Linked DNA regions of Sus scrofa. The protein of the gene in region 1 purifies or fractionates together with the protein of each later gene. This does not show direct contact. Links are inferred from orthologs where the notes say so. Each region holds a gene or a part of one and is shown in the gene's direction. Other genes may lie near its edges.

Region 1 (15,843 bases):
CCCAGCCTATTTTTTGGAGTCAAGCACACCATTGGCTTCCAGCCAGGTGGTTAGCACTGTACACAGATGTTTCCCTGAGCAGGGACCCCAAGGAAGCAGGGACCCCAAGGAAGCAGGGAGCTATGGACTGACATGTGCATACTCTTCCTTGAAACTTTCTCCAAGTCTCTTCTTCTGCTGGAAACACAGTCCACAGTCTGTGAGCTCCTTATCTCTTATTTTTAGCTTTTTATTATGTGCATCTCTTTCCACCTTATACTGAAGTTATCATGTGACCAACTAATTTTTCTAACCATAAGTGCCTTGAGAACTGACCCGTGTCTTATTTCCTAGCATTGTACCTTATACTTAGTAGATGTCTGTGTCTAATAAATAAATATTTGTTGACCAGATGAATTGATTGATGAAGGTCTAAAATTTTTTCATATCCCCTACAGGTCCTAGGATAGTGCTGGGCTTTCTGTAGCAGGGTCTCAGAAGAATGGATGGATTAATCAGTGAGCAAAACATTGAATTAACGAGCCATTGTGCAATGGCTTGAAAGTAGAGAATTCACTTCTCACATGGGGGTCAAGATCTACAGAATCAGTGTAAAAGTGCAGCATGTATGAAACCGGCTATGTCTTTTTTTTTTTTTTTTTAAACTACAGGTGATTTACAGTGTTCTGCCCATTTCTGCTCTGCAGCAAAGGGACCCAGTCATATGTATGTGTATGTTCTTTTTCTCATATTATCTTCCACCATATTCTATCACAAGTGATTGGATATAGTTCCCTGTGCTATATAGCAGGACCTCATTGTTTATCTAGTCTAAGTGTAATAGACACTCATGATGGAGTGTGATAATGTGAGAAAAAAGAATGTATGTATGCGTGACTGGGTCACCTTGCTGTACAGTAGAAAATTGATAGAACACTACAAACCAGCTATAATGGAAAAAAAACATCATTAATTAAAAAAATAGAAAAAAAAAATTTTTTTTTTGCCTTTTTGCCATTTCTTGGGCCACTCTCGCGGCATATGGAGGTTCCCAGGCTAGGGGTTGAATCGGAGCTGTAGCCGCTGGCCTACACCACAGCCACAGCAACATGGGATCCGAGCCTCGTCTGTGACCTACACCACAGCCCACGGCAACGCCGGATCCTTAACCCACTGAGCAAGGTCAGGGATTGAACCCGCAACCTCATGATTCCTAGTCGGATTCGTTAACCACCGTGCCAGGACGGGAACTCCCCTGTGTCGTATTTATTTCTATAATGGGTTGTGGTAGATAAACTTGCTCACTTCAGAGTATCAGGTAAATCCCTTCCTGTCCTCTGCATCTTGTCTTGCAGGTGTGAGCGGCACCTCTTCACCACGGTGGCGTTTGGTCCCTACCTCAGCCCGGGTGAGGATGTAAACCCCCCCGCTCTGCACATGTGTGGTACAGGCCAACAGGAACACCTGGCTCCAGCCACGGGCACGGACATGTCAGCCGTGGAGTAGTGTGGACGCTCTCTCTCTGCTTCTCAGGGTTTCAGTCCTTTCGGGTTTGTGTCATTGACCTGTTTTTTATGGTTTTGTGGCTGGACGTTCACGACCAAGGCAGGCACCATGGGGGATCAGCAACTGTACAAGACCAACCACGTGGCCCATGGTGGTGAGAACCTTTTCTACCAACAGCCACCTCTTGGCGTCCACGGCGGGCTGAACCACAGCTATGGGAATACGGTCCCTGGCGCTGCCATGGATGCTCCTCAGGCATCACCCATCTCCCCCCACTTCCCTCAAGATCCTCGGGACGGTCTAGGCTTGCCTGTTGGCTCCAAAAACCTTGGCCAAGTGGATACCTCAAGGCAGGGAGGGTGGGGAGGGCCCGCAGGGCCTGGAAACCACGTCCAGCTACGCAGCAACCTGACCAACTCAAACATGATGTGGGGGGCACCAGCCCAGGCGGAGCCCGCCGATGGCTTCCAGTACACCTACTCCCAGGCCAGCGAGATCCGGACCCAGAAGCTCACCAGCGGTGTCCTGCACAAGCTAGACTCTTTCACCCAGGTGTTTGCCAACCAAAACCTGCGGATTCAGGTCAACAATATGGCCCAGGTGCTGCACACCCAGTCGTCAGTGATGGACGGAGCCCCGGACAGTGCCCTCCGCCAGTTGCTGTCCCAGAAGCCCATGGAACCCCCAGCACCGGCCGTCCCCTCCCGCTACCAGCAGGTGCCCCAGCAGCCTCACCCTGGTTTCACAGGTGGGCTGTCCAAACCAGCTCTTCAGGTTGGGCAGCACCCAAGCCAAGGGCACCTGTATTATGACTACCAGCAGCCCCTGGCACAGATGCCAGTGCAAGGAGGACAGTCCCTGCAGGCCCCCCAGATGCTGTCCCCGCACATGCAGCAGATACAGCAGCACCAGTATTACCCGCAGCAGCAGCCCCAGCCGCAGCAGCAGCAAACTGGGCAGCAGCGTATGTCGATGCAAGAAATGCAGCCGCCCCTGCAGCCGCTTCGCCCGTCACAGCCCCAGCAGCAACAGCAGCAGCAACAGCAGCAGCTGCAGCAGCGGCAGGCTTCGATGCAGATACCTCAGTATTTTCAGTCCCAACCCGTGATGCAGCATTTGCAAGAGCCGCAGCAGCCACAGATGCACTTGCAGCCCCCTTCTTACCACAGGGACCCCCACCAGTACACCCCGGAGCAGGCGCACGCTGTCCAGCTGATTCAGCTGGGCTCCATGCCCCAGTACTACTACCAGGAGCCTCAGCAGCCCTACGGCCACCCTCTGTACCAGCAGAGCCACCTGCCCCAGCACCAGCAGCATGAGGACAGTCAGCCCAAGACTTATCCAAGTGACCGGCAGGCCCAGGCCATGCTGAGCTCCCACGGGGACCTGGGGCCTCCAGATACAGGAATGGGAGACCCGGCAAGCTCGGACCTGAACCGGGTCAGCAGTGCCCTCCCGCACCGGCCGCTCCTGTCCCCCAGTGGCATCCACCTCAACAACATGGGGCCTCAGCACCAGCAGTTGTCTCCCAGTGCCATGTGGCCCCAGGTACTCCCACCGTGGATGTTGCCCTTGGTATCGGGGTGTGCTCCTGGGCCAGCCAGCTGAGTCTGTGCAGTGCCAGGTCCTCCCTCCCAACCCCTGCAGCACTTCCGTTCTTGCCTTATTCCACAAACATTGACCAGACGCTGTCTACGCCAAGCCATTGGAATTCAGAGTCCATTTTGACTCAGGGCTTCACCCCTAGAGCTTAGAATCTCACTAAGGAGAGGGCCAAAATACCATAGCAGGTCCCGAACGATGCATGTCATGGTCAAGGTCTGATCAGGTGCTCGGGGACCAGGACCAGCTAATAACGGTGTCTAGCCCCCTTAGAACTATATCCTTAGGGAATGTCCTGGGCACCTGTTCCCCCTTTGCGAGGGAGACCTCGTCATGACAGCATTTCTCAAAGGACGTTGCTCCAAATAAGAGTTCCATAGAGGAGTTCCCTTCGTGACTCAGCAGTTAACGAACCCGACTAGGATCCATGAGGATGCGGGTTCCATCGTTGGCCTCGGCTCAGTGGGTTAAGGATCCAGCATTGCCATGAGCCTTGGTGTAGGTCAGATCTGGGGTTGCTGTGGCTGTGGTGTAGGCTGGCAGCTACAACTCCAATTTGATCCCTAGCCTGGGAACTTATCCTATGCTGCAGGTGTGGCTCTAAAAAGCAAAAAAAAAAAAGAGTTCATAGAATGTTTAGTGGATATTGCTGGGGAAGAGGAATGGGTTCTCTGGATGGAGGGTTTCTTAAAGTAAAAGAGGGTGCTGTGTTGCTGGGCTTCTCAGGGTCTTTAACATGCTCATGTGCACCGTGAGCATCCCCAAGGGGAGACCTCATATAGTTGCAGAGATGAAAAACCTTCGCTGCCCTCAGGATCCAGGCAGGTGAAGTCAATAAGCCACACGGCCTGGTAGGAGATGATAAGGTCTGCAGTAGATAGGAGACCCGATGCCCCATCTCATGATGCTCCTAGTCAGGATATTTAAAAACAGTCTAGCCAGGCAAACCGTGTCTGTAGGCCAGATTCAGCTTGCAGGTGACCCTTGCTAACCCTTGATTGTTCCCCAGATGTATTTGGTCACAAAACCACCCTGCGGTGTGCTGGGCACCATTCATGCCTTGGCGTGTTGCAGGTGCTACACTCATGTGACAACAGGGTCTGGGGGTGGGGGAGGTCACCTTGAATAGGACCAGGATAGAGAGGAGGGGGGCTGTGAGGAGGGGTGAAGGCCAGAGATGAACTCCCCATGACCTTGTTGTGTTTAGGACTTGGGCCAGTGGTAACGGAGAGCCTTTGTGATTATGAAAATAAGAGGACAGGGCTGGGAAGGAATTCCAGCAGGAAGTCGCCCAGCTTGATGCTGTCTCTCAAGGGAATGGAGCCTGTCTGTGCACAGAGTGGGTGGACGGGAGAGCAGGAAGGAAGGAGGTGGGGAATGAGTCCTAGCGGGCTTGTGGCCGGTGGGGCCCCCTGAGAGGGCGGGGCCCCAGACCCGGGACCGTCAAGGGCAAGAAGTCTGGAAGCCTCAGGTGTGGAAGAATAAGGTCAGGAGTGGCCGTGAGCCCAGTGGGCGTGAGGGGGAGAGCGGGGAAGAACCCTAGAAGTGCAGGCCCTGGGGGTTCCTGCTGCTCAAGGACCCCTCCCATCAGAAACACATGGTTTTTTTTCTTTTTTTTCTTTCTTTCTTCTTTCTTCCGGTGCCCTGCATGGCTCAAATTAGATGCACGTACCTGATGGCAGAGCCCAGCCGGGGTCCCCTGAGTCAAGGTATGTTGGATGCATGGAGGCTCGTTGGCATTTGGGGAGACTGGGAGATTTCCCTGGATTGTCTCATGATTCATTTCCAAAGCCATTCCTCAAAGAAATGTATAAGAATAATAATAGCAGTTACTGTGTTTGAGCGCTTACTGTTACTCTCTCTTGTGTGTAATAAGGTAACTGAGCAAGAGTGGGTGTGATTTCCATGTGCCCACTACAAAGTGAGCACTCAACCATTGTTGGCTATAATTACTATTATTTTACGCACGAGAAAACTGAGGCTCAGAGAGCTTAAAGTAGCACATCGAGGAAGTAGGGATGCTGGGGTGGACTCCAGAGCCCATGTTCTATCCCCTATGCATTCAGTATTTATTGAGTACCTACTGTGTGCCAGGCATAGCGCTAAGCTTTGCGGATGCCACAGTGGATCATAGCACGGTCTTGTTTTCTCGCCTGGTGGCCGTGGTAAATAAAAACTTAGCCAGAACCTGATAAACTGCTAAGGCGTGTGATCTGGAGGTTGAACCAGAAGACTTAAACACAGGTCTCTAAAGGAAGCCTTCTGGAAGAGACCCAAGCTGACCCTAGATGGATAATAAGCATGGGGGCAGGGGAATGGGGCCAAGCCCCTGAAAGCCTAGAATGAAGGAAGACATTTGGTTCAACTCTTGCAGGATCTTGAGGATCTTAGTTACAGATGAACTAAGTCCATCTGTAAATTGGACTTAGTTCTCAGAAAGCAACTGGGGCGCTACAAGTGGGACTGTGGCCCTGGGTGCTCTGGATGAATGAAATGGGTTCATTGTGGGGTGTGAGGTCTTGTGATAAGTCACTGTTCCCCTTTATCACTGTGCGTGTCCTCTCTGCTTGGCCCTCCCCTTGAGCAGTGGCCAGCCAAAAGGAGTGTTTGGGGAGCAGTTTGATGCCAAGAACAAGCTGACGTGCTCCATCTGCCTGAAGGAGTTCAAGAGCCTGCCTGCCCTGAACGGGCACATGCGGTCCCACGGGGGGATGAGGGCCTCGCCCAGCCTCAAACAGGTGAGTCGGCATCAGCCCTGCTCCTTCCCAGGCCATGTGCTGCTTGCTTTGCTTTGCTGCCGTCAGACAGAGTGACGTGAGCCCCCATGTCACTGAGAGGCGTAGTCCTTCCTTAACAGAAGTGCTTCAGCTTTGCTGCTGGGAGCCAGCCAGGTCACACGGTCCCCACTGCCACCGGCTTTGTGAACAAGAGTCCAGAACAGAGGTGGTAGAAATCCTTTAAGGGGATCCCAGCCTACATACCTCTTGGAGAAGACAGCAAGAAAACATGGAGATGTATTATTTTTTTAACTCCTGCTGCTTGACAGTCAAGACTGGGGTCCCTTGGGCCTTCCAGATCCGTCAGTGATGGCCAGGGGAGGCTACTGTTGACTGTCAGGCTCCAGCCAGCCTTTTCTGTTCACCAGGGCACTAGTGTTAGACTCTAGCATCTGAAGACCTTTAAATGCCCTCAGGATTATCCAGGTAGGATATCCACGTGGTGAACTAGCCACACAGGGTGAATTTTTTTATAAAGATTTTTATTTTTTCTATCATAGTTGATTTACAATTTTGTGTCAATTTCTGCCATACAGCAAAGTGACCCGGTCATACATATACATATACATATATATATATACATACATACATACATATATATACACACATATATACACACACACATATATATACATATACATATATATACATATATATATACACACATATATATGGACATACATATACACACACACACACATATATATATACACATTCTTTTTCTCACATTATCCTCCATCATGGTCCATCACAAGTGATGAGACATAGCTCCCTGTGCTATCCAGCAGGATCTCATTGCTTATCCACTCCAGATGCAACAGTTGGCATCTACTAACCCCACACTCCCAGCCCATCCCAACCCCTCCCTGTCCATGCAGGTTTAGTGTTAGATTAAAATTCAAAGAATTTTTCTCAACTCTTTGAATATCGTTGCCATGGGATTAACTCTCTTCACCAAAACCTTTGCTGTGACCCAGGTCACTGCGTCTCCTGATCATGCCAGTTAAAAGAGCTTTGTCTTCCTTTTGACAGATGAGCAAACTGAGGCCCAGTGAATTAAAAGGTCCTCCACAAGACTTTAATTTGGGGGGTTTTGCTGTTGTGTTGTTTTGCCTGATTATGAGTCCATATCGTTTTTTCTTTGAAAGCAGTGACACCCACACAAAATTTTTCTTGACCGTTTGTTTTAATGTACAAGTGATACAAAGTCACAATTTTTTTAATGTAGAGAACAGAGGGCCTTATTCGTTGCCCACGGGCATCCCTGCCGCCGAGGGACGCGGGGCGGCAGGAAGGAAACCACCCTGCCCTGGTTCCCTGTCACCCACGCGGGATGCCCAGGAACCTTCCAGGTTCAGGAAGGGCACAGGGCACCCCCCTTGGGAGAGCTGCTCTCGGCCCAGGATCAAAGCCTTTATTGTCTGTGTAGGAGGAAGGAGAGAAGGCCCCGCCGCCTCCGCCTCAGCCGCAGCCGCCACTGCCGCCTCCGCCTCCGCCTCCGCCGCAGCTCCCTGCCGAGGCGGAAGGCCTCACGCCTATGGTCATGCCCGTGTCTGTCCCTGTCAAGCTTCTGCCGCCCAAGCCCAGCTCTCAGGGCTTCGCCAACAGCGTCGCTGCCGCCCCCTCGGCCAGAGACAAGCCAGCCAGCTCGGTGTCGGACGACGAGATGCCCGTGCTCGTGAGGATGACCCTCTCCCCCCCGCACTCCCCCCAAGGGGCTGCCCCCCGCCCGCCTGCTGTGAGTCGCTGCTCTGCCCCGCCTGCCTGGGGTGGGGACCTCCCTTTGCTTTCTCGGAGACGGGGGACAGCTGTGCCAGGGCCCCCGACCTGGGCTCAGGCATGGCTTGGCCCCGATGGCTGCCTTGGAGTTTCCCACCCGTGTCCACAGTGCCTGCTACCCAGTAAACACCTGCCACTCTACCGGGCTGACGGTCTGGGTTAGATTCTGAGAGACCAGAACCGAAGAGGTAATCACAGTTAATAAAAAATGCAAGACCTGTCCAAGACACTAAATAGCTCCTGCCCAGGGCCCAGGCCCCTCCGCCGGGACCTCCTCAGATCTGGCAGCCAAAGATGTCACCCCTAGTGTATGGGGCCCTCCAAGCAGTAGCCCTGACATCCATTCTGATGGCCAGTCAGTCTTACCAGACTTGATATTTGCAGTATCATCTCTGCGTCAGTACCCTCCGAGGACCTGATTCATGAAGGCTCCCAAAGTAATTCCACTGAGCCACCCACCCCCAATCTCGAGAAAGCAAAGAGACTTGTGTTTCTCACTCACCGTTGAGTTCTTTTTTCTCAAGTTTCAAGTGCTTCAGCCAAGCAGCTTAGCTCGGGTCTGGGACAGGGACCTATCCCCCCGCTCCCTCCCTCCCACCCCTGGCGAGTCTGTAATCCCTGTGGTTGACCACCTCAGATTTGTCCCCTCCCCACAAGTGGTATGCCGGGTCGTATTTGTCCTTGGAGAGTAGGTGGCTGCTGGGAATCCAGGAGGTGGGAGAGTGGGCTTGGGCCAGAATAGGGATCAGAAAGATAATTAAGAGAACTAGAAAAGTCCAGGAAGAGCCTTTGGGGTTCTCTATGTAATATTGAAGCTCAGAAGAGGAGAGATGGATGGAGACCCTCTGGGGGGGGGGGGCGGATTCTCATCAGCTGGCAGGTCTTGTGGGCCAGCAACAGGCAGAGATGAAATGACACAACCGGGCTCCCGCTTTGCCCGACGAAGTTCCCGATGTGGCGGGAGAGGTAGCGTTTCTACCCTTGGGGAGCTCCCAGCCTCACTGGAGACAGTGAGGTTCCTAGTCACACAGGGGTCAGAACCCCAGGCAGCAGCCCTCCCATACACACACACACACACAGAAGACAGTGAGAGGATGAGCAGGGCAGGCGAGAAAGAGTCATACCCTCCGGGTGGCTGCTGGGGACACACCTGCGTTGCTGAGGTAATTAGGGCCCGGGACGAAGGGCCCTATTACAGGGGAAGTTTGGTGCAAATTCCCTTAGAAGAGCATCGTGGAGTTCCTGTCGTGGCGCAGTGGTTAACGAATCCGACTAGGAACTATGATGTTGCGGGTTCGGTCCCTGCCCTCACTCAGTGGGTTAACGATCCAGCGTTGCCGTGAGCTGTGGTGTAGGTTGCAGACGCGGCTCGGATCCCGCGTTGCTGTGGCTCTGGCGTAGGCCGGTGGCTACAGCTCCGATTCAACCCCTAGCCTGGGAACCTCCATATGCCGCGGGAGCGGCCCAAGAAATAGCAACAACAACAACAACAACAAAAAAGACAAAAAGACAAAAAAAAAAAAAAAAAAAAGAAGAGCATCGTGAGGGGAGTTCCGAGCAGGGCCTTGAAGGCAGAGCTGAACTCGGTTCTGTGGGAAGGGTGAGAGAGATACTGTGAGGAACTAAACCGAAGTGGAAGCACATAGGTAGGACTGTGTAAATGTGAGCAAGGTCCTGACACTTAACAGAAAGACATTAAAAAGTCCAGTTCTTATCCCCACTCTGCTCCTGGCCGCTGGGATGCAGACAGCTGCAACCCTTCCCCTCTCAGCACCTTGGTTTCTCCCCTGACCTTGAGAGGGCGGGGTCGGACCCATCAGGGACCGTCATCCCTCTGGGGAGCTTTGTAAACGTCTCTGCTCTTGGCCCTGCCTCCAGAGTCTGATTAGCTTGGCTGGAACTCTGTAAGTGCCTCCTCTCAAGTGACATCCAGGTCTGACATTCTGGTGCCTTCCCTGGCTCAGGGTCCTCAGAATCTTGCCTGGAGGATCAGAAAGCTCCAGTTTAAAGCTAGAGCAACAGAACCAGAGGTGCACATAGGGAGAGCCCAGCAGAGACCTTTCGCCCTGTGGTCAGAGGTCTAGATTCCAGTGCAGGATGGAAATCACCTCATCAGCTACCCGGGAACAGGGTGTAAAGGGTTGGGATTGCTCCCCAAGTTTGGGGGCTCAGGCATCCTCTCCCCATTCCTCAGCCCCCCTCTCCTCCTCAGCCCCCTCTCTCCTCAGCCTCAGGCGATGAGGAGCCCTCTGGTGGGGACAGGAAGCAGGTTGCAGCTCCCTGGCCTAAGGAGAGCCTCCTGAGGGTGAGATGGGAGTCTGGGGCCCCTCTGCCCCTTCTCCTTTCCCCACCTCTCTGCTTCCCTAGGCTCCCCGCCAAGGGGCTGGGACGGCACCCTAGCAGATGGTGAAGCTGAGGCAGAGACAGGAGGGGCAGCCTGAAGTGCTGAAGGCAGCAGAAGGGGCCCTGAGGAAGAGGAGCCCAGAGCTGAGGGGTGACTGAGGCAGGTCACATGGCCTGGAGGAGCCTGGTCACATGACCAGGGCCAGCCTTCCCATCATCCCCTGTGGCCTCCTGCTCAGGCGCCACCCTGGGCAGAGGGATTGCCAGGGACCATAGCTGGCTCTGAGGGGCCTGGGAGGGTACCACAGACCGCCCAGAACTTTTCTGCAGGTATGCCCACCACTCCCCCAACCATACCACTGCCTCTCCAGCCACACCCAGCTCTGGGGTTTTCTGGGCTGATGCTGGCACACGACCAAGTCTGTTTGTGTTTGGCTTTGGCATACCCTGCTTATCTCTTTCCGTGCATGTGTTTACTTATTAGTATGTATGTACCTGTGTGGCCGATCTTCCTCCCAGGCTATGCTTGGTTCTGCCAGTATGAAACAAACTAACACGGCTGACAGGAAACCAACCTAGGAGAAGGGCTTGCCGCAGAGGAGAATGCTGGGAGCAGTGGGCAGGGGTGGTGAGGGGGGAGGGTCACCACATCCATTTCCAGGCGCACAGGAGGGGGCCCTCAAAGGTCCTGGACGGCTCGCCTCAGCCCTGATGTGACCTGGAAGGAGAACCCACTGGGTCACTGGCCCTGGGAGCCTCCCCTAGGCCTGACCCCCCTCTTCCTGTCCCGCAGCCTCTGCCCAGCTTCCCTGTATAGATTTATTTTGTCCCTTCTCAGAACATATGTTATCTGTCCCTGAAGTCTGTCCCCGGGGGAGAGGTGGGGAATTAAAGGGCCCCCTCGGCTGGATTCCACTCACCAGATGGGAATGCAGTGATAAGCACTGAAGAATGAGAATTTATTCTTTCTTGCCCACCCACTATTCCCTGCCACCCCCATCCCTCTCCAGACATTAGGCATTTCCTCCAGAACCAAAGTTTTCGCCCTAATGGAGCCACCAGATCGCGCCTTGTGTGAAATGGATGCGACGGTTTCTTAAGGCAGAGGAGGCTGCGGTCTGGGGAGGAGGAGGCGAAGGCGGTGGAAGGGAGGAGTCGCCTTTCCAACAGAAGCCCCGCTTCCCTCAGCCTGTGGAAATGGCCTGTGGGAAAAGCCCAAGCATCTGAATTGGAAGTATCTGAATTGGATCGTTCTTCCCGTTGTAGGAAATTCCCAAGAAGCATCAGGCCGGTGCGGCCAAAGCCGAGGACCCGGTCAAAGCCGTGCCCGAGAAGAAGAAGTTCCGGCACCGGCCCGAGCCGCTCTTCATCCCGCCGCCGCCCTCCTACCACCCCAACCCCGGCGCCTCGCACTCGGGCGCCACCCTGTACCAGAGCCAGCTGCGCTCCCCGCGCATCCTGGGCGACCACCTGCTCCTGGACCCCGCCCTCGAGCTGCCCCCCTACACGCCCCCGCCCATGCTGAGCCCGGTGCGCCAGGGCTCGGGGCTCTTCAGCAACGTGCTCATCTCCGGCCACGGCCACGGCCCCGGCGCCCACCCGCAGCTGCCCCTCACGCCCCTGACGCCCACGCCGCGCGTGCTGCTCTGCCGCTCCAGTGAGTCGGCCCGTCGCGGCTCCCTCTCGTTTACGCCGCAGAGCTTGGTGGGGGATCTGCTCTGCATACCAGGCCCCGTGCTAGGAGCTGGAAGTCCTCAGAATCAGAATACCTAGTCTCAAGGGCATCAGTGTAGCTGATAATGACAGTCTCTCTGGGATAAGGAAAAGCAGTTGAAGTGTGCTGTGGATAACCATGTGAGATGCCCCCAATAAATATGCTAAGTAGGAGTTCCCGCTGTAGTGAAGCGGGTTAGGAATCCCGCTGCAGTAGCTCGGGTCATTGTGGAGGTACAGGTTCGATCCCTGGCCTGGGAACTTCCATATGCCTTGGGTGCGGCCATTGAAAAAATAAGTAAAAGAAGTGCCCGCTGTGGCATCAGTGGTCTCTTGGGAGCCCTGGGTTGCAGGTTCGATCCTTGCCAGCACTGCAGGTTAAGGATCCGGTGTTGCCACAGCTGGGGCTTAGGTCGAAACTGCAGCTAGGATCTGTTCCCTGGCCCAGAAACTCCATATGCCACAGGGTGGCCCAAACAAGATAAATAAATATGTAAATAAATAATGCTGAGTGGGTGTACAAATAGGATGATATGCAAGACCACACGTCTGCATTTTAGCCTGCTGTATGAATGTCAAGCAGGAGAGACCTGTGGCCAAGATCTCTTTCTGGAGCAAGAATAGTTTCATAGAAAAAAGATAGCTTAGCAGACGGGGGTAGGGCAGCTGGCATCTCCTTATCCTGTGCGAAGTAGGGATCCCTAAGCCGTGTATCCCCACACTCCATCCAGCTCCTGGAAGACTCCTGGGGTAACTGGGAAGGAGAGGAGCACTTTTATGACAATTTAAGTAACTGCTCATTTTGTTTCTTCAGTACCCTTCCCTGTTGACCCCGTGACCTCTGTTTTTTTGTGCTTCAGACAGCATCGATGGCAGCAACGTGACAGTCACCCCGGGGCCTGGAGAGCAGACTGTTGATGTCGAACCGTAAGGAAAAGCCAAGTACCCTCTAGAACAGCAGGCTCAGCTGAGGATGAAGAGCTGTGGGAAGGGTAGTTAGTACTTCGGGAGTCAGTGTGGCTGCTGGACAGGAAACTGGAGAAAGCGTAGGACCGTAGTATTTCTCAAGTGCTGTTTGTTTCCCTGTAATGGCGAGTGTTTCAAGACCTTTCTAAAGACTAAGTGCTTTGAAAGCATGGAGCCTTGTATTTGGCAAACCTAGCATCCCTGTCTCCGGCTCCAAGGGCCAGTTTGGTTGGGGCTACATGCGTTCACATCCCAAGTGATGCTGAGACATCTCTGTTGGGGTGCCCAGCTCTCCACATGCTGCATCCAAATGCCATGCTCTCCTTGTCCTCTTCCAAAGATTCTTGGCCAGTCCTCCAAGAGACCGGGCTTGAATACTTGAGCTTGGTCGGGGGTGTGGGTATAATGGAAGAGAAAGGTGGTTAATTTCATGGGTAAGCACAGAAAAGGCCAGATGGTAGAGTGCTGAATAGATGAGTCAGGAATCAGAAAACCTGGTTCCAGCACATTTCGTTACTTGCTGTTGATCAAGGTAACCTTTCTAGGCTTTAGTTAACTCATCTATTAAATAGGAATCATTTTCACTGCCTTGGTTATTACATCATGGGTCTTTGTGGAGTTCAGATGGGACCATGTATATGGAGTGGTCTGGAAGGGATAAAAAATGAAATAAGAACTTTGTATTTGTCTCTGTGGGTTAAGTGGTACCATCAGCCATGCTCCGGGCAGCCTTGTTCCCTGGGAATTAGCACCTTCCCCAGCCAGCTCTAAGGTTCCTTGAAGCCCCTTCTCCCTTGCTCCCTGCAGCATCTCTCCCCAATCTTAAAGCCGTTCCTTATCCCGGTGAGAAGGCCATGCCCAGACTTTTAGGATCACACTGTGAGGAAATGCCCCTGCCTCTTGTTCTTGGAGAAGGAACGGGTTTCCTTCTTTTTCAAGTCCCTGACAGTTGCCCTTGGCCTCAAGTTGAAGACCGCACTGTTGTTTTTCTTCTTGTCATTAAAGGCGCATCAACATTGGCTTGAGATTCCAAGCGGAAATCCCAGAACTCCAGGATGTCTCTGCCCTGGCCCAGGACACACACAAGGCCACCCTGGTATGGAAGCCCTGGCCGGAGCTGGAAAACCATGACCTCCAGCAAAGAGGTACTAGAACCCAGGGAAGAACCGGGCGGGAAAGGCTGGATTCTCTTCCTCCCGGGGAACCCTGGCTCCAGGATTGGTGTGTTTTTCCGCGACCCTGAGCCCTCTCTGATGCAGTGACCTCTCATTGTTCCTAACAGTGGAGACTCTCCTGAATTTGTGCTGTTCAAGTGCATTGCCAGGTGGCGGGACCAATTCTGAATTTGCTTTGCACTCTCTCTTCGAGGCCAAAGGTGATGTCATGGTAAGGAACCACGAAGAGCAGGCTTCCAGGCTCATATTCATCATGTCCGAATTCTGAAAAGCACTTTCCCAAGATGCTGCATTGTTTTGTATCATACAGCCAGTTCATAAGATGATGTCCAGCCAACGTGCCTGCCATGGTCCTTATCTCAATGAGGAGGTCAGGATTTAAGAGCCTGTATGGGAGTTCCCATCATAGCTCAGTGGTTAACTAATCTGACCAGGATCCATGAGGACGTGGGTTTGATCCCTGGCCTCATTCAGTGGGTTAATGATCCAGCATTGCCATGAGCTGTGGTGTAGGTCACAGATGCTGCTCGGATCTGGGGTTGCTGTGGCTGTGGTGTAGGCCGGCAGCTGCAGCTTCAGTTCAACTCCTGCCTGGGAGCTTCCATGTGCTTAGGGTGCAACCCTCAAAAGACAAAAAAAAAAAAAAAAAAAAAAAGCCTGTAGGAAAACCTCCATTTGAACTTTTGTTTACACATCTGTTCCTAAGTAATAATGATAGGAACATCTGTCTTGGGAAGCTCAGCTTTCTTTTCAGCAGTCTTGTAATTCCCATCAGGAGACAGGTCTGCGGTAATGGAGGCAGAAGGTCCTCCTGAAGCCAGACTTGGCCTGAAGGAGTCTGTCATACTCCACTAAAGGTTCTTTCCTATGGAGATCAGCCAAAGGATGACATTCAGAGAACCGTTTTCTCCCCTAACCAGAGTGCAGTGTTGCTGTGCACCACCTGGTGGCATCCTTCCAATTTTTACTTTTTATTTTTTCTTATTTGTCGGCCACCCTTGCAGCATATGGAAGTTCCCTGGCCAGGGGTGGAATCCGAGCCAGAGCTGTGACCTACGCCACAGCTGCAGCAACATCGGATTCTTTACCCACTGCACTGGACTAGGGATCGATCTGGTGCTACTAGAGACAAGCAGGATCGTTAACCCACTGCGCCACAGCAGGAACTCCTCACTCTTGCACTTTTGACACAGTTCTTTGGCATCTCCTAAACCAGAACGTTGGTGCCCTTTTCCCAGAATCAGAGCTGCTCAGCTGGGACTCCAGCCCAGAGCAGTTTGTTACCAACTCTTACTTCCCCTTTATGACTACGAGTCTTAGACCAGAGCTGGCCTCCTGCTTTCTGATTTAATGAAAATGTGAAAATAAACAAATGTCCCAATATTATCTTTTCATGAGATTATTGATACTCTTCAAGCATCCTATAGAACGTTGGAGAACTCTGCTTGACCTTTGAACATCAGTGCTGCAGATGGATGCTTCTCAAACTTTTAACGTGCACCCAGATCACCTGGGGAATCTTGCTAAAATGCAGGTTTTTCAGTGATTCCAGAAGTGGGGCCCAAGGTACTGCCTTTTGAACCTGCTCCCAGAGGATGCCTGTGCTGCTGGTCTGTGGGCCACACTTGGAGCAGCCAAATTCTAGACCTTGCTCTGCCCCTAAACCATTGATCTGTACCACTTTTTTTAAAGGCCAGCGAGGCTGAAGTTCCCATTGTGGCTCAGTGGAAACAAATCTGACTAGGAACCATGAGGATGCAGGTTCGATCCCTGGCCTTGCTCAGTGGGTTAAGGATCCAGCATTCCATGAGCTGTGGTGTAGGTCTCAGGCACTGCTCGGATTCTGTGTTGCTGTGGCTGTGGGGTAGGCCGGCAGCTACAGCTCCAATTCGACCCCTACCTGGGAACTTCCAAATGCTGTGGGTGCGGCCCTAAAAAGATTTAAAAAAAAAAAAAAAAGCCAGCAAGGCCGAAGGAGGCAGATATGACAGGGTCGTTTAGCA
Region 2 (15,548 bases), on another chromosome or scaffold:
GTACTCTCCCTAGTTCTTCCAAAAGGCAGCCCTGAATGTTCGAGACAATATTGGGGAAGAAGTCGATGCAGAGCAGCTGATCCAGGAGGCCTGTCGGAGCTGCCTGGAGCAGGTGAGATCAACAGAAGGAGGTACAGGAACAAGACTGAGCCCTCGGGACTCAGCTGAGACCTGAGATCCTGTCATCAGTGGTGTTTGGGGGGAATACCTGGCAAGCTGCTCGCATCTAGACAGGGCTTGGGGCTGTTGCTAACAGAAGGGAGGAGAAGTAGCACCTAGATGCCAGGTGCTGTGGGGATGCTTTCACCTGCGTTAGTTCATTTACGTCTCAGAAGAAACCTGTACCAAAGGCATGTTTCAATCCCTGGTTTACAGATGGAGAAAGTATGGCTTAGAACAAGCAAGAAGTAGAATAGCTAAGGTCTTGCTCACCTCTGCAAGTGCTTGGTGACTTGATCTTTCAAGTAGTCGCAGCCCCTTGGGGTATCACGAGAACTCTCACCCTTTCTGCCTTTCTGCCTTCCTGCCTCTCAAGGTGTGGTCAGGAGGCATGACATCAGGTCTAGAAATGGCTGTGTTCTCTAGATAGTCGTGAACCTGTTTGCATGTGTCAGCTGCTGTTATTAATAGGAATTGTCAGCATCACTCAGATTCTGTGCTTAACTGTGAAGCCATCAGCTCTCAGAGATGGAAATTTCATCACCATAGGCACAAGGGCAGGCTTGGGTTCAGCCCTTTGAGGATAATTATTGTGAGATGAGAGAAGAGCATCTTCTGGGAGGTTTGCTGTGTGCAGATAATACACATTCATTAAGACAAATGTGGCATGTGTTAAGAATGCAAATTTCCTCTTGATTCAGACTTCCCAGATGTGAAATCTACTTCATAGTAGAGCCTGGCTCTACTACTGACTCTAGCTGTGTGACCTCAGTTTTCTTATCTGCAAAATGGGGATAGTTCTACCTGGTAGGATTGTTGTGAGGATTAAATGTGGCAATACTCTTAAAGCATTTAGATCAGCAACAAAGCCTCAACAAATGTTACCTGTGGCTGGTGTCATATTAAGATGAGAAAATAGGAGTTCCTGTCGTGGTGCAGTGGAAACAAATCCAACTAGGAACCATGAGGTTTCGGGTTCCATCCCTGGGCTCACTCAGTTGGTTGGGAATCTGGCGTTGCCACGAGCTGTGGTGTAGGTAACAGACGCAGCTCAGATCCCGCCTTGCTGTGGCTGTGGTGTAGGCTGGCAGCTACAGCTCCAATTCGACCCCTAGCCAGGGAACCTCCATATGCCACGGGTGTGGCCCCAAAAAGACAGGAAAAAAAAAAAAAAGTTAGAAAATATAGGAGTTTCCTGGGTTATGGATCCAGCAGTATCACTGTCGTGGCTTGGGTCACTACTGTGGCAAGGATTTGATCCCTGGTCCAAGAATTTACACATGCAGCAGGAACAACCAAAAATTAAATTTTATCATATTACATAAGAAAATATAATTAATTACAAGAGAAAATTAGAATTTCTCATAATCTTATTACCAAAAATAACTTCTATTAACATTTAGATGTGTTTCTTTTTTTCACCTGTGTATGTTATACACATGTGTGTTCCTTCCTGGGGGTTCTGGGAAGACAGTAGGGAGTGAAAACAGACCACCCTCGAGCCCACAGTCCCCTTTGGAGGCCACGCTATTTCTCCATCCCCTTTTACAGCCAGATTTTGGGAAAGGTTGCTATCCCTGGCTCCACTTTGTCACCTCCCTTTGCTTCTTTTACTTTGTTTTGTCTTCAGTCTCCCCTTCACACCCTCTTATATCAGTATCACCGGTAAGGTAACCTCCACGTAGCTCAGCTCACTCAACTGCTGGGTGGCATTCATCGCAGTGGATCGTTTTCATGTTTCTCAGAACGTTCCCCTCTTGGCTCCTAGGCCTTGACATTGCTCCAACCTCGCTGGCCACCCCTCCTCACTTTCCTCGGCCAGCTCATCTGCTCTGCCTCTGACCGCTGAGACATTCCAGGTTCAGGCCTCAGACCTGACGACTTAAAGAAGAATGTGCAAAATGAGAGTTGTGAGCTTAAGTTTTACTCAGGGACTTACTGAGGACCGTAGCCCAGGAGACAGCTTCTTGGTGGCTCTGAAGGAGCTGCCCTGAAGAGGGACAGGAGGAGCCAGTTTTTATATCGGTTTTTTTGACAGGGAAATGCATGCAGTCAAGCAAACATATATCTTGGTAAGAGGTGACCGCATGTCACGAAGAACAGATACTTCAGGTTCGTGATTTTAACGCTTTTCTCTATATGGTAAGAGGCAATAATCTGGGGTCATTGAGATTCTTCCTGAGATGCCCATCTAACTGTCCAATGGCCTGTTTATTTAGAGCACGGAGAGCCTCCGCCTGGTCTGCAGCCCCTCGGGTGTGCTGTCAGTGGGCAGCTGCAGTGGGTTACAAGTGGGTTAACCCTGTAGAACCGTGTGGGGAGCAACACTCCTCGTTTTTCTTTGTCCAGGACCCCTTCTCTTCTGTGCCTCCCTCTTGTTTTAAGTGATTCCATCTAGTCCTATGTCTTTGAAGGCAATTTATTTTTTTGTTTGTTTTTGGTGTGTTTTTGGGGGTTTTTTTGTTTGTTTGGTTTTTTGTTTGGTTTTGTTTTTTGCTTTTTAGGGCCTCACCCGTGGCATATGGAGGTTCCCAGGTTAGGGGTCAAATCAGAGCTACAGCTGCTGGCCTACGCCACAGCCACAGCCATGCAGGATCCAAACTGCATCTGCGACCTACACTGCAGCTCACAGCAACGCCAGATCCTTAACCCACTGAGTGAGGCCAGGGATCAAACCTGCGTCCTCATGGATACTAGTCAGATTCATTTCCACTGAGCCATGATGGAAACTCCCAGACCTGTCTTTTTATTTTTTATTTTTTTGCTTTTTGGGGCCGTGCTTGCAGCATGTGGAGGTTCCCAGGCTAGGGGTCGAATCGGAGCTAAAGCCACCCGCCTGTGCCACAGCAACAGCAACACAGGATCCGAGCTGCGTCTGTGACCTACACCACAACTCACCGTAACGCCAGATCCTTAACCCCCTGAGCAAGGCCAGGGATCAAACCCGCAACTTCATGGTTTCTAGTCGGATTTGTTTCTGCTGCACCACGATGGAAACTCCTGTCTTTTTAAAGATGAGTTGGATTGTGTCACCATCCTCTTGCAAACTCTTCAGTGACTTCCCATTGCAGGCAGAATAAACCCTAAGGCCTCCCCATGACCCACAGAGCCCTACCTGGACTGGCTCCTTCATCTCCCCCCACCTCCCCCCCATCAGCTATGCTCTCGCCTGGAATCCTCCTGCCTCCCCAGCACACCATCCTCAGGGCCTTTGCGCTTGCTCTTCTCACTGCCTGTATGCTCTGCCCTCAGCTCTTTACAAAGCTGGCTCCTTTTCTTCAGATTTAGCTCAGCTCATCAGAGAGGCCTTCCTTGGCTGCACCATCTAAAGTAGCCCCCATCTCACTCCCTTCCCCACCTCCAGTTAGTCTCACCTTGTTTATTCCCACCGTGTATTTCCATCTGAAATTATTGGTAGTTCGTATGCGTATTTTTCTGCCTCCCTCCTACCCCCTCCACTGCTAAAATCTTGAGCTTTACGAGGTGAGGCCTGATCTTGTTCATCACTGTATTCACAGACCTGGAATATGACTCTTAATATGTGTACATTGTTTTCCTTTGTTTGTACATTGCTTATCGAGTGAATGAGCAAACAAGTGAACAAACATACAGCAAATGAATAAGCTTGGTTCCTTCTCTCTTAGAACTAACAGCCTAGTCAGGCAGACAGGGAAAAATTAAAATACCACACAGATGGGTGCAAAATTACACATTGAGGAGTTCTTGCTGTGGTAATGGTTTAAGGATCCAGCATTGCTGCAGCTGTGGGGCGGGTCACAGATGTGGCTTGGATTCAATCCCTGGCCCAGGAACTTCCCTTATGCTGAGCTTGGAGCCAAAACAAACAAAAACCACTGAGAGAGATATGTGCACTCTTCACGGAAAAGGGACACATTTGGAGGAGAAGATCACAAGTTCAATTGTGGACTTAGCAAATTTGAGACACCCCCACATAGACGTGGAGCAGACCATTGTATAAATCTGGAACACCATTATATAAGTCAGGGGAGGCCACCACTGAAGGTAGAAAATTATGGAGTCAGCAGGTGATGCTAGCTGAAGCTCTGAGCATGGATGAGAGCAGACAGACTATCTAATGAAAAGAACCAGACTGAAGAGGATGAGCCAGTAAACAACAGCCAAGGATGAATGGCCAAAGAAGCAAGAGGTAAACCAGGGAGTGTGGCCACAGAGCCCATAGAAGACTGTTTCCAGAAGGAGGGAGCCTTCAGGGCTGTCCAGTGCGGCTCCAAGAGGTCACGTGAACCCAGCTCTTCACAGGCCTCCAAGGCCCTGCCAGCCTCCCCATGCTCCCGCTCACCCCTCTCCTTCTCCCAGGACCGCGAGGCCTCTTCTTCAAATGAGCCACATCTGTTCCCACTTTAGGGCTTTTGTGCTTCCCCCTGCAGCTGAAACACATTTCTCCTCAGCCTTCTCTCTGCTTGGCTCCATCACATCCTAGCCAGAGCACCCTTCTCAGCAAGGCATTCCCCGGCCACCTGCTCCAAGTAGCTTTCCCTTTGGGTGATTCTGTCACGTCTGCCTGGCTGGTGTTTTTTCCTTCAGAGAAAAATTCATGGTCTACAGTCACTGTGCTTATGTGTTTGTTTATTTGCTTAACGTCCAGATCGCCCACAGAATATAAGCTCCACAAGAGCAAGGCCCTTGTGCTCAGTATCGATTAAATGAAAAACAGCAACTTACTGAAGACTGTGCTTAATATCAGTGCATTTACTTAGAAAAAATACATAGCAGATATTTACATGGCAAAAAGTGAGAAAGAGTTTGCATCGAAATGTTAACAGTACTCTGAGTCCTGAGGTTTCAGATTTGGTTTTGTTTTTTTTTTTTTTTCTTTTTTTGTCTTTTTGTCTTTGTTTGTTGTTGTTGTTGTTGCTATTTCTTGGGCCGCTCCCGCGGCATATGGAGGTTCCCAGGCTAGGGGTTGAATCGGAGCTGTAGCCACTGGCCTACGCCAGAGCCACAGCAACGCGGGATCCGAGCCGCCTCTGCAACCTACACCACAGCTCACGGCAACGCCGGATCGTTAACCCACTGAGCAAGGGCAGGGACCGAACCCGCAACCTCCTGGTTCCTAGTCAGATTCGTTAACCACTGCGCCACGACGGGAACTCCAGATTTGGGGTTTTTTTTATTTTTATTTTGTTTATTCACATTTTTCTAATTTTTCAACAATGGTCGTTAATTACTCAAGGTTTTTTTTGTTTTTTTGTTTTGTCTTTTGTTTTTTTGAGGACTGCACCCACAGCTTATGAAGGTTCCCAAGGCTAGGGGTCTAATTGGAACTGTAGCCGCCGGCGTACACCTCAGCCACAGCAACACCAGATCCAAGCCACATCTGCGACCTACACGACAGCTCATGGCAATGCTGGATCCTTAACCCACTGAGTCAGCAAGGCCAGGGATCGAACCCACAACCTCATGGTTCCTAGTCAGGCAGATTTGTTTCCGCTGCACCATGACGGTAACTCCAAGTTTTTTTAAAGATATCTATTTGTGTCCATGTCTCAGGATCCCTTTGTACTGACCATGAAAGAGTTTTAACCCAGCTTGAAGCTGTGTCTATAAAAATGGAGACAGAGAGGCTTACTTACTAAAATAGTGACTAGTAACACTTGGTCTTTTCCTTTCAGGCTAAACTACTCTTTTCAGATGGAGAAAAAGTAATACCCAGATTGACCCATGAGCTTCCAGGGATCAAGGTCAGAGTCACCTGGGGTCTTAGAGGGGGGAGACCACTCAGACTGGGAGGCAGGTGAACTCCCTGGCTCCAGGGGAGGCTCTAGGTACCATGCATTTGTGGGGCCAGATATAAATAGCATCGTGCTGGGAGGGCTTCTGAGTCCCAGCTCAGGGAGGGGCTGAGGAGTGGTCCAGGGGCTCTGACTTCTGCAGCCCCATGGGACCCGAAGCTCCTGGGCATTGGCCTCCCACCAACTCCCTTCCCTTCTCCCGCAGCGTGGCCGGCAGGCAGAAGAGGAGGGTGCCCATCGGGGGAGCCCCATTCCCAAAAAGGTAAACCATCTCCTCCTTGTCTGGCCGGGAGAAGGCCCTGCAGCTGCAGAAGGGGCTGAGCTTCCTCAGCTCATCTCTGGTCCTCTCTAGCCTGAGGGGCAGGAACCTGGGAACCGTCACCCTCCCTGGTCACTCTCGAGGGTCGTTTGGTCTCATTGGAAGGGAGTTCCCTGGCGGTCTAGAAGGGAAAGCCCTCTCCCCTGGACGCCCCAGTGGGTGGGGGCTTCCCACAGGGTCAGGCCTCTGACAGCTGTTCTTTGTGGCAGAGGAAGGGACGGCCTCCTGGACACATCCTGTCGAATGACCGGGCCGCCGCAGGCATGGTGTGAGTAGGGGCCAACAGAGCCAGAAGGAGAGCGGGGAGGGAGTGGCCTGGAGGAGAAGAAGCCAGAGTTCTCTCCTGGTGAAATCACTCCTTCAGTGTAGGTCACCATGGAGGAGAGTTACTGTGGTCTGAGAGGCCGAGAAACATGGCAGTGAGGGGAGGTGATTTTATCCTGGTTTTGCCCCCAGAACAGTTCAGCCCAACTTCATTAAACACCAGAGGTTTTTTTTTTTTTTTTTTTTTTTAAGTCTTTTTAGGGCCGCACCCACAGCATACAGAAGTTCCCAGGCTGCAGCCGCCAGCCTACTCCACAGCCACAGCCACAGCAACATGGGATCTGAACCATCTCTGTGACCTACACTGCAGCTCACAGCAACACTGGATCCTTAACCCACTGAGCAAGGCCATGGATCGAACCCTCATCCTCCTGGATACTAGTTGGGTTCTTTACCACTGAGCCACAATGAGAACTCCGAGAGAGATATTTTTTTTTTATTAGCAGTATGTATTGAACACTTATCATGTGCCATAACTGGTCTAAATACCTTATGTATTGTGCCTTTTATTCCTTACTGGAGCCATTCTCTAGTAAGTAATTAAGGTATAATTAATTTTGGAGATAAGAAATTGACTCAGAATTATTTGCTCAAAGTCAGGCAGCTAATAACAGCAAAACTATACTACATTGTCTCCAGGATGGTCATTTTCAAAGATTTTGAAGCAACAGAATCTTTTCTTCAAACAGAACTTTACGTGGAAGCCCAATAGATAAAGCAGATAAAGCCACACGGGTCTGGTTAGGAGAGATGGAGGTAGTTTGAAACCACCAACTTAGGGGTTGGCCTCGTGTATCCCTCCCACCTTCCATCTCTCCCTTTCCCGGAGCAAATTCATTCCTTACTCACACGAGGTAGGGAGTTGCTGCTGTTACCTCCTTCTGTCAGATGAGAAAACTGCAGCCCACATGCTGGGTGATGTCAGAGCAGATCCTGGGGTGGCTCCTGGTGCTGTGGGGTCCCCAGTACACCCAGGCTGGAGTGAGAGTGTGAGGAACTCGCAGCAGCAGCAGACTTGCTTTCAGTCTAGCCTGATCTTGGAGAATTCACCCCTCTTCTTTCCTCCCGATCAGATGGAAACCAAAATCCTGTGAACCAATTCGCCGGGAAGGCCCCAAGGTATGATGAAGTGAGCGCAGCTGGCAGCACACGCCAGCCTAGGCGGACTCAGTCCAGGCTCTGGGCCCCACCTCGAGGGAAAGGGCCTGGGCTGGGGGACGAGTGCACACCCTTCCAGACCGTTCCCCCCCATCCCACCTCCCAACGCTGGCCTTCCAGGAGGATCCCAAGGAAGGATTGACATTAGGGGCAAAACTAAGAAAGGGCTTTGTCTTTGCTGAAGCCTTCTCCCAGTAAAACTAGTTGTCACTCTTCCTTTAGTACTTAATATGTGACAGGCGCTGCCCTGAATCTTTTGTATGGATTACATGATTTAATCTTTGTAACAACCTTATGAGTTAGATTCTGTTACCCCTCTGTGGTTCAGGAGCTTTCTTTCCCACCTCGTGGGCTGGAATAATCTCATTTTACCTAATTATCTTATACACTTGATGCATTCAAGGTTACAGAGCTGCCCAAGGTCATGTACCAAGTAAGTGGCAGAGCCAAGGGTCAAATCCAAGACTGTTGACACCGGAGTCTGTGTTCTTAGCTGTTAGCCTCTGTTGCCTACAGAACAGAAATTTGCAGGCTTTTTAGCAGTAGAATCCTTTCTTCAATTAAAATCATACCTGGAAGCGCAGTAAGGTGGATGCCAGCTCCTCTGTCCCCGTAGAGCTGCATCCCATAGAAGCCATCCACTCCTTGTCGTCCTGGCCCTCTGCGTTCACGCCAGTGACCACGCCTTCCTTCTTCAACTCTGCTACATCACAGCAGGGGGTCCTGCATCCTCCTAGAACTGTCTTTTCCTCTCCGAGCACTTCTCTCCCTCTACTGAGTCCTTCCTCGGCAGTGACCCATACAGATGGCCGTTCCCCAGAATTCGCTCCATTGCCCATGTCTCCACCTAAAGTTTCTGTCCGGGTGATCTAGAGGATCCACTCTTACGGTTTCGGGGACCAGTACCTGCCCAGGTTGCCTTACCCCGTGGTTTGTCCCACCCCTCTCTTTCTAGTTTAAAATTTGTATATCCTGCTCACTGCTCGAGCTCTCGGCTTGGAATTTCCATAGAACGTCAGACTCAGCACATCCAGAATTGAAGTCGGCAGCTTTCCCCCCAGACCTTCTCTGACCTTCTCTGCTTGAGTCACCTTTGCCTATTCCTTTCCTTCCTCTCCCTACATCCAGTCAAGTCCCGGATGCTTCTGCCTCCTCAGTACATGTATCCAGGTCCTGTTCCCTCTTCGTCCTCACTGCTGTCCTGGCTCAGGCCCTCATCTTTCAAAACTGCTCTCTTGCAACAACCTCTAGACTGCCCGCCCTGCCTGTAGTCTTGCTCCTCCACACCCAGTAGCCACATTGCTGAAGATCGAGCCACCTTTAGCGCAAATCTGGCTCTTGCTGTTTAGAGGCCTTCAGTGACCCAATCGCCTACAGAAGAAACAAAAGGAAAACCCATCCACGGCGTGTGCGAGGGCTCCTGGCCCCCCTTTTCCTCCCTCTCCAGCATCATCAGTTGCCACTCCGGAATTCGCACATCTCTTTCCAAAACACAGAATCGCTGTGGTTCCTCCAGCAAGCCCAGCCAGCTCTCGCCGCCTTTGCTCATGCTGCCCCTCCTTCCTGGCCTCTACCCTATCCAGCTTGTGTTCTCACTTTCAGAACCAACTTGGGAATTACCCTTCAAGGAGAAGCAGGTGCCCTGTCACCCTCCCTTTAGCTCCCCTTGCACTCATATCATTATCTGTACGTATGTCTGTGGCCCAGAGAACATGCTGTCTCTCAGTCACTCCTTTATGCCTGTATGTAGCACAGGGCCTAGCATGTGACAAGTACTCGGTTTCTTGAATCAGCTGTGTGTTGAATAATGGACTGGGGAGGCATGTTTCTGTCCTGCCCACCAGTGAGACCTCCACCTCACCAGCCTCTCTCTCCTTTTCCCAGTGGGACCCAGCTCGGCTGAACGAAACCACCACCTTTGTGTTGGGATCTCGGGCCAACAAGTAAGTGTGAAGCGTCTTGGTGCTGAGGAGGGGGAAGCTCGGGGTCCATGAGGACGGCAGCCACTGGGGTCCTCACCACCCGTGTGTTACTTTGCAGGGCCCTGGGGATGGGGGGCACCAGAGGGAGAATCTACATCAAGCACCCACACCTCTTTAAGGTAGGTGAGAGCTGAGGGCGAGGCGGACCGCTGAGTGGAGTAGGTGGCTCAGAGAAACTGGGAATAGACACTGATCGGGGAGTCAGGACGTCTGAGTTCCAGTTGCCCCTCTGCCCTTAACCTTTACCTCTGTGCCACAGCAGATTAAGGATCCAGCATTGTCACTGCAGTGACTCCGGTCACTTCTATGGCGTGGGTTCAATCCTTGGCCCAGGAATTTCCACATGCCATGGGCAAGGCCAAAAATAAAAAAGTTAAAATTAAATAAACAAAAAATAAAAAACAGATACACACAGCTCCTTGCCCTCATAGAGCTTATCTTCTAATGCAGGGCAAGCTGTGGGCTGTGGGCCAAATCCATCTGTACCCTGTTTTTGTTCAACTCAGGGTTTTTATATTTTTAAAGGGTGATTAAAAAAAAAAAAAAAGACCATGTGACAAAGATCTATATGACCGCAAAGCCTAAAATGTGTACCAGCTGGCCCTTTACAGGAAGGTGTGAGGACCACTGTAAATCTAGCAGACAATGTCTTAGAGGTTCGTCCATGTTATTAAGTCTCCCTCATTCTACTTATAGCTGTGTAGGATTCATAGAATAGTCTGTAATTTACTTCATTGCTCCCCTGTTTATAGATATTTAAATTTTTTCCAACAGATTTGCTATTACACACAATGCTACACCAAACATCCTTGTGTACATGTGTGGCTGATTCTGAAGAATTAAATCCCTGGAATTGGATTGCTGGGTCAGAAAGTACACACTTTTTTCTTTTTCTTTTTTTTTTTTTTTTGCCATGCCTAAATCCTTAAGGTGCTGTGCCACAAGGAAACTCCAGAAAGTACACACTTTTAAATTTCTGATTAATATTTATATCACTTGGGAAATGAAATCATTGTTTAAACTCAAAGGATAGTAACATGGAGATCTCCCTGCTTGGTCTCCATTTCAGATGTTCTGCCTGTTACATAAAATCTACCTTCACTGAGCACTGATGTGTCTTACACTCCATTTACCACCCTTTTTTTTTTTTTTTTTTTTTTTCGTCTTTTTAAGGCCGCATCCACAGCATGTGGAGATTCCCAGGCTAGGGGTCTAATTGGAGCTGCAGCTGCCAGCCACAGCCACGCCAGGTCTGAACTGTGTCTGCAACTACATCACACAGCTCACAGCAACACCAGATCCTTAACCCCCTAAGCAAGGCCAGGGGTCAAACCCGAGTCCTCATGGATACAAGTCAGATTCGTTGCCACTGCGCCACAACAGGAACTCCGTCTTGTTTATTCTTAACACCCCTGTACGTGTTAATACTCTCTGTTTTACAAACGAAGAAACTGGGTCTCAAAGAAATTATTGCCCAGGTTTACCTCTTCTATTAAGCAGCAAAACCAACTTCTTTCCCTTTCCTTTCTTTTTCAAAACACCAGGCCTGATTGGCCACCCACGCGTGTGCAGGCTCTTCGGCCCACCTGCATTCCTTCCCTGCCACGCGCGGACCCCGTGGGCAGAGCTCTAAACCCCCGAACTAAGTTCTTAACCATGACGCTCTTCTGCCTCCTCCAGGCCATGAAGTGTCCTGATTTTTGTTTTAGAAAGTGTGGTCACCTGTGTTTGGTCACTTCAGATATTTCTTCAAAGAGGAGCCGAGTTCTAAAAAAGTTATCACCAGGAGTGACTCAGCAGTAATGAACCCCACTAGTACCCATGAGAATGCGGGTTCGATCCCTGGCCTCGCTGAGTGGGTTCAGGATCCAGCATTGCCATGAGCTGTGGTGTAGGTCACAAACACGGCTCAGATCTGGTGTGGCTATGGTGTAGGCCAGTGGCTACAGCTCCGATTAGACCCCTAGCCTGGGAACTTCCATGTGCCACGGGTACAGCCCTTAAAAAAAAAAAAACAAAAAAAACAAAAACGGAAAGAAAAGAATAGTCACCAGTCTGTCCATTTGCCAGAGATGCTATGTTTTGAGAAAGGACATAAGCAGGAATTAGGAGTGTACTAAATTTTGGGGAATTAGGTCCCGTCGCCTGGCCTAGGCTTGGCTCTACTGGCTCTGAAGAGGTTGGTGAGCCCTCCACACCCACCAGGCTAGGACGAGGTCTTGTTGGTAAGAAGTATCCAGGGGCAAGACTATTGTCTGAACCAAAGAAAAGCCCATCACACCAGGCTGACATCTCCCCCTGTGACTTCATCCCTTACAGTACGCAGCTGACCCCCAGGACAAGCACTGGCTGGCCGAGCAGCATCACATGCGGGCGACAGGGGGGAAGATGGTAAGCATTGTTTTCACTTGTCCCTGCCGGAGACCCACCCAGCCCTGGGAGATTGGGCAGGGCCCTCCACACCGAAGACCAGACTGTAATCTCTGGCTTCCCTCCCCCGTGCCCCCTCCCCATCTCAACAGCACCCTCCTGTGTAGCTCATACAAGCGTACAGGACGCTCGCAACACTGCCCACCCCTCCTGTGCTGCCCATTGACAGCTTTCCCTCCATCGCAGCTCTTTCACCAGGCACAGTACCATTTCTTCTCCACAGGGTACCAGGCATTAGCCCTTGGCAGGAGGAATTAGCACATGCAGTGAAACTTGCTTGCCACACCTGGCAGCCCCTTCCAGAACCACCTCTACCTAAAGTGTTCTCAGCTCATATCAAGCAACCACCTTAGGAAAATCCTCATTGCACGTGTCCTAAAACTGTCATGGAGGGATTTGTCCATCACATGCAGTGTCCCCACCTGAGGATTCACTTAGTCGCAGAAACCACTATGCCATCTCCTTTCTGACAGTGGAAGCTATCTTTTGGTGTCTATGCTATACTCTTTCAAAAAAGACATCAGGAAGCTTACCATTGACACATAATATAAATAAGAAAAAGGGAGAAAAGGAAAAGCAGGATCTAAAATAAGCCACAAACAAGACTGGTTTTAAAAAAGGAGGGTGGGGGTGGGGAATGGCATGGGATTACTTGCCAGCCTGGGAGACCAGTGCCCTTCTACAGGTTTTTACAAATTCAGCTCCAGGCCCCACTTAAGGACACCTGATCTGTTTCATAGTTCACAGTGCCCCTAAGATGAAGACAGTCGTATGACTCAGGGGACACACAATTACTCTTGACCCTCACACTGGAAAGAAATGTCTTCCACAGAAGACTTTCGCATGTGATCAACATCCCCCATGTGGTAAGAGCCCTCACAAGCGGGCTCCCTCCCCCTGCAGATGGCGGCCTGGGGCCAGAGCAGTTCTGCAGGCCCCAGGACAGCATAGCCCAGTTACTAGACAGTGTGGTTTATCGTGTTTTCCCTTTTGCCATGAAGTTCAAAACCAAATTATCTTCATTCAAGAGTTCACACGTGGCTTCCTCCTGACTTCCTGTTTCCATGTTTATTTTGCTAGCTCTGTGGCTCTTTCACTGTAAGCCACCCCATGGCCCTTTTTTAAAGAGGTGACAGCCAAAAATAAGTCAGTAATCCCCACTCTCCGGCCCATAAATTAGTCTCTACTTGAAAGAAAAATTATCTCAAGAAACTATTCCCCAGACAGCCTCTCCCTTCTTGCTCTCCCTTGCTAAATTACAAGCTATGACTCCACTCCTCCCTTCTAGCCCTTACCTTAAGCAGACGTTTAATAAAGTGTTAATTGAGTTGGAATGAAACGAATCATAGGCAGTGACCACTCTCCTTTGTTCCTGCCCCAGGCCTACCTCCTCATTGAGGAGGACATCCGGGACCTCGCTGCCAGCGATGACTACAGGTAAAACCAGCGGTCTGTCCCCTACCCTTCCCCCTGCCTCACAGTAGCCCCTGGGATGAGCCTGGACCTACATCTTCCCTTGCTCCAACTCTCCTCTTCAATGTCTGTCCCAGAGGATGCCTGGACCTGAAGTTAGAGGAGCTGAAGTCCTTTGTCCTACCCTCCTGGATGGTTGAGAAGATGCGAAAGTACATGGAGACACTACGGACAGAGAACGAGCACCGCGCTGTTGAAGCACCTCCACAGACCTGAAGCCAGGTCCCCTGGCTACACTTGGCAGCCCTCCTTTAAGGCCCTCTTACCCACATGGCTGAGGTCACTGCTGGGACTGCTTCTAGATGGATCTCAGCAGCATTAAGCTATGCCTGGGCTAGTTTGTAGTGACTCACTGCAGAGCACCCCCAGACTGGCATGTGGTTCTATATTTGTAAAGTTTTTGGGATAAGAAGCAATTAAACAGTTTGTAATAAACACAGATGGTGAGCCTGCTGTGAAGTCTGCCTCTGGGGGCTGACAAAATATCAAGGGCTCTCCCTAGAGGAAGTGGGTGTAGGGAATAAAGGCCCAAGCACCCCTCCCCCATCCCAGGAAGCCCAGTGGCCTGTGCGTATCTGCTCCGTGAGAAACTGGGAACAGCCTGTACCTTGCTGCCAGCCTTTCCTGTCCCTGTTTATCTCCTCACCCAACTAAGGCATGGGAGTAGCAGAATGTGACGGCTGGGATCATGGACATTTGATGACAAACCAGCAGGAAAATGTAAGGCGGCTTTTATTACCCCCGTTTTAAGGTTAAAACACGAAATTAAGTGCCTAGGGTAGCACAGGAAGCCGTTGGAGAGGCCACCGTTGAACCTGTTTTCCAGTAGGGGGTCTCTGGCTCTGGCCCTCGGCCACTAGTTTTTACCCTCGCCTGACGGTTCAGACCCTTAAGGCCCTAACCAAAGTGCCCAGGACATTAATAACAAGTGGAGGAGCTGGGGTATCCGGTTTGGGGGATAAGTACCAGGGCCCCGAAATCGGAGACCCTCCCTTCTGCGAGCAGGGAGTCCTAAGCCGGCGTGCGGTAGTAGCCAAGGGATTCATCCCACGTGGATGTCTTCTAGGCCATTTAATGGTCGGCGTTTTCCAAAGGCCACCAATCCACTACAGATTCGTTAGTTAATGACAGCCTCTCTTACCAATCGCCCATCTGAAGAGGGATCCAGCCGCCCAATAGTGGTGCGCTGGTGGGTGGATGCAGCAGTGACAGAGCGCCCCATTGGCTGGATTAAACCCAAGCGAGCCACTGATTGGCCGGCACCTCCGGAGGGTTACAATTCAAACGCGGGCGGGCGGGACCGCGGCCCTGCAGTTGCAGCCGTGGTCTCCGGATACCCTGAGATCCTGTCTCCCTCCCAGCGCTGCCCAGATGGCTTCCCAGAACCGCGACCCAGCCGCCGCCAGTTTCGCGGCCGCCCGTAAAGGAGCCGAGCCCAGCGGGGGTGCCGCTCGGGGCCCCGTGGGCAAGAGGTGAGTGGTGCCGAGGGAACACTTGCCGGGCCTGGCACGCCCTAGGCATTTGAAGCCCAGAGCAAAGACTTCCGGGGACCCCCACATTCTCCTGGAGCAGCTGAGGTATGAGAGGTAGAGGTACACGCCAGGAGATCGCCTACTTCTGAAGGACGACAGAAGGGGTAGGGATGCTGCCAGGATCCTCCGTGGATGAGCCAAGATGAAGATGCCCTGGGGACCCTCTGTGGCTTGGCTGGAGGGCGGCGGGGAAGGGGGCTAGAAGGTGAGAAATTGAGATCCTGCACAGAGAGAGACGCCAGAGAAGCAGAATTAGGGGTTAAGAATAAGCCAGAGCTCTCCTTCCGGGAGCCTGGCATTAGGAAGGGTGTGGACTCACTAAGACCCCCCTGTGGAAATGGGGGTGACCATGCCCACAGCTAAGTCCGACCTCAGGGTAGAGGGAAACCTCCGTGAC

What was found.
Region 2: the proteins of TRERF1 (region 1) and DNTTIP1 purify together in Homo sapiens (affinity purification with mass spectrometry; 3 studies listed by BioGRID and IntAct, with this or other methods). This does not show direct contact. The link is inferred for Sus scrofa from reciprocal best matches to the Homo sapiens genes TRERF1 and DNTTIP1.

What each region holds. Positions count from the first base shown.
Region 1 is NC_010449.5:37,365,946-37,381,788, reverse strand, and holds part of TRERF1 (transcriptional-regulating factor 1), read left to right. Parts: intron 1-1,334; 5' UTR 1,335-1,593; coding exon 1,594-3,033; intron 3,034-4,749; coding exon 4,750-4,796; intron 4,797-5,674; coding exon 5,675-5,825; intron 5,826-7,293; coding exon 7,294-7,602; intron 7,603-11,252; coding exon 11,253-11,643; intron 11,644-12,559; coding exon 12,560-12,626; intron 12,627-13,670; coding exon 13,671-13,810; intron 13,811-13,947; coding exon 13,948-14,051; intron 14,052-15,843.
Region 2 is NC_010459.5:48,003,499-48,019,046, forward strand, and holds the end of DNTTIP1 (deoxynucleotidyltransferase terminal-interacting protein 1), read left to right. Parts: intron 1-13; coding exon 14-112; intron 113-5,813; coding exon 5,814-5,882; intron 5,883-6,138; coding exon 6,139-6,195; intron 6,196-6,461; coding exon 6,462-6,520; intron 6,521-7,649; coding exon 7,650-7,695; intron 7,696-9,618; coding exon 9,619-9,677; intron 9,678-9,774; coding exon 9,775-9,835; intron 9,836-12,035; coding exon 12,036-12,107; intron 12,108-13,527; coding exon 13,528-13,583; intron 13,584-13,696; coding exon 13,697-13,835; 3' UTR 13,836-14,070; downstream 14,071-15,548. Other genes in the region: UBE2C (ubiquitin-conjugating enzyme E2 C), read left to right, coding at 14,991-15,091. UniProt on the Homo sapiens protein: Increases DNTT terminal deoxynucleotidyltransferase activity (in vitro). Also acts as a transcriptional regulator, binding to the consensus sequence 5'-GNTGCATG-3' following an AT-tract.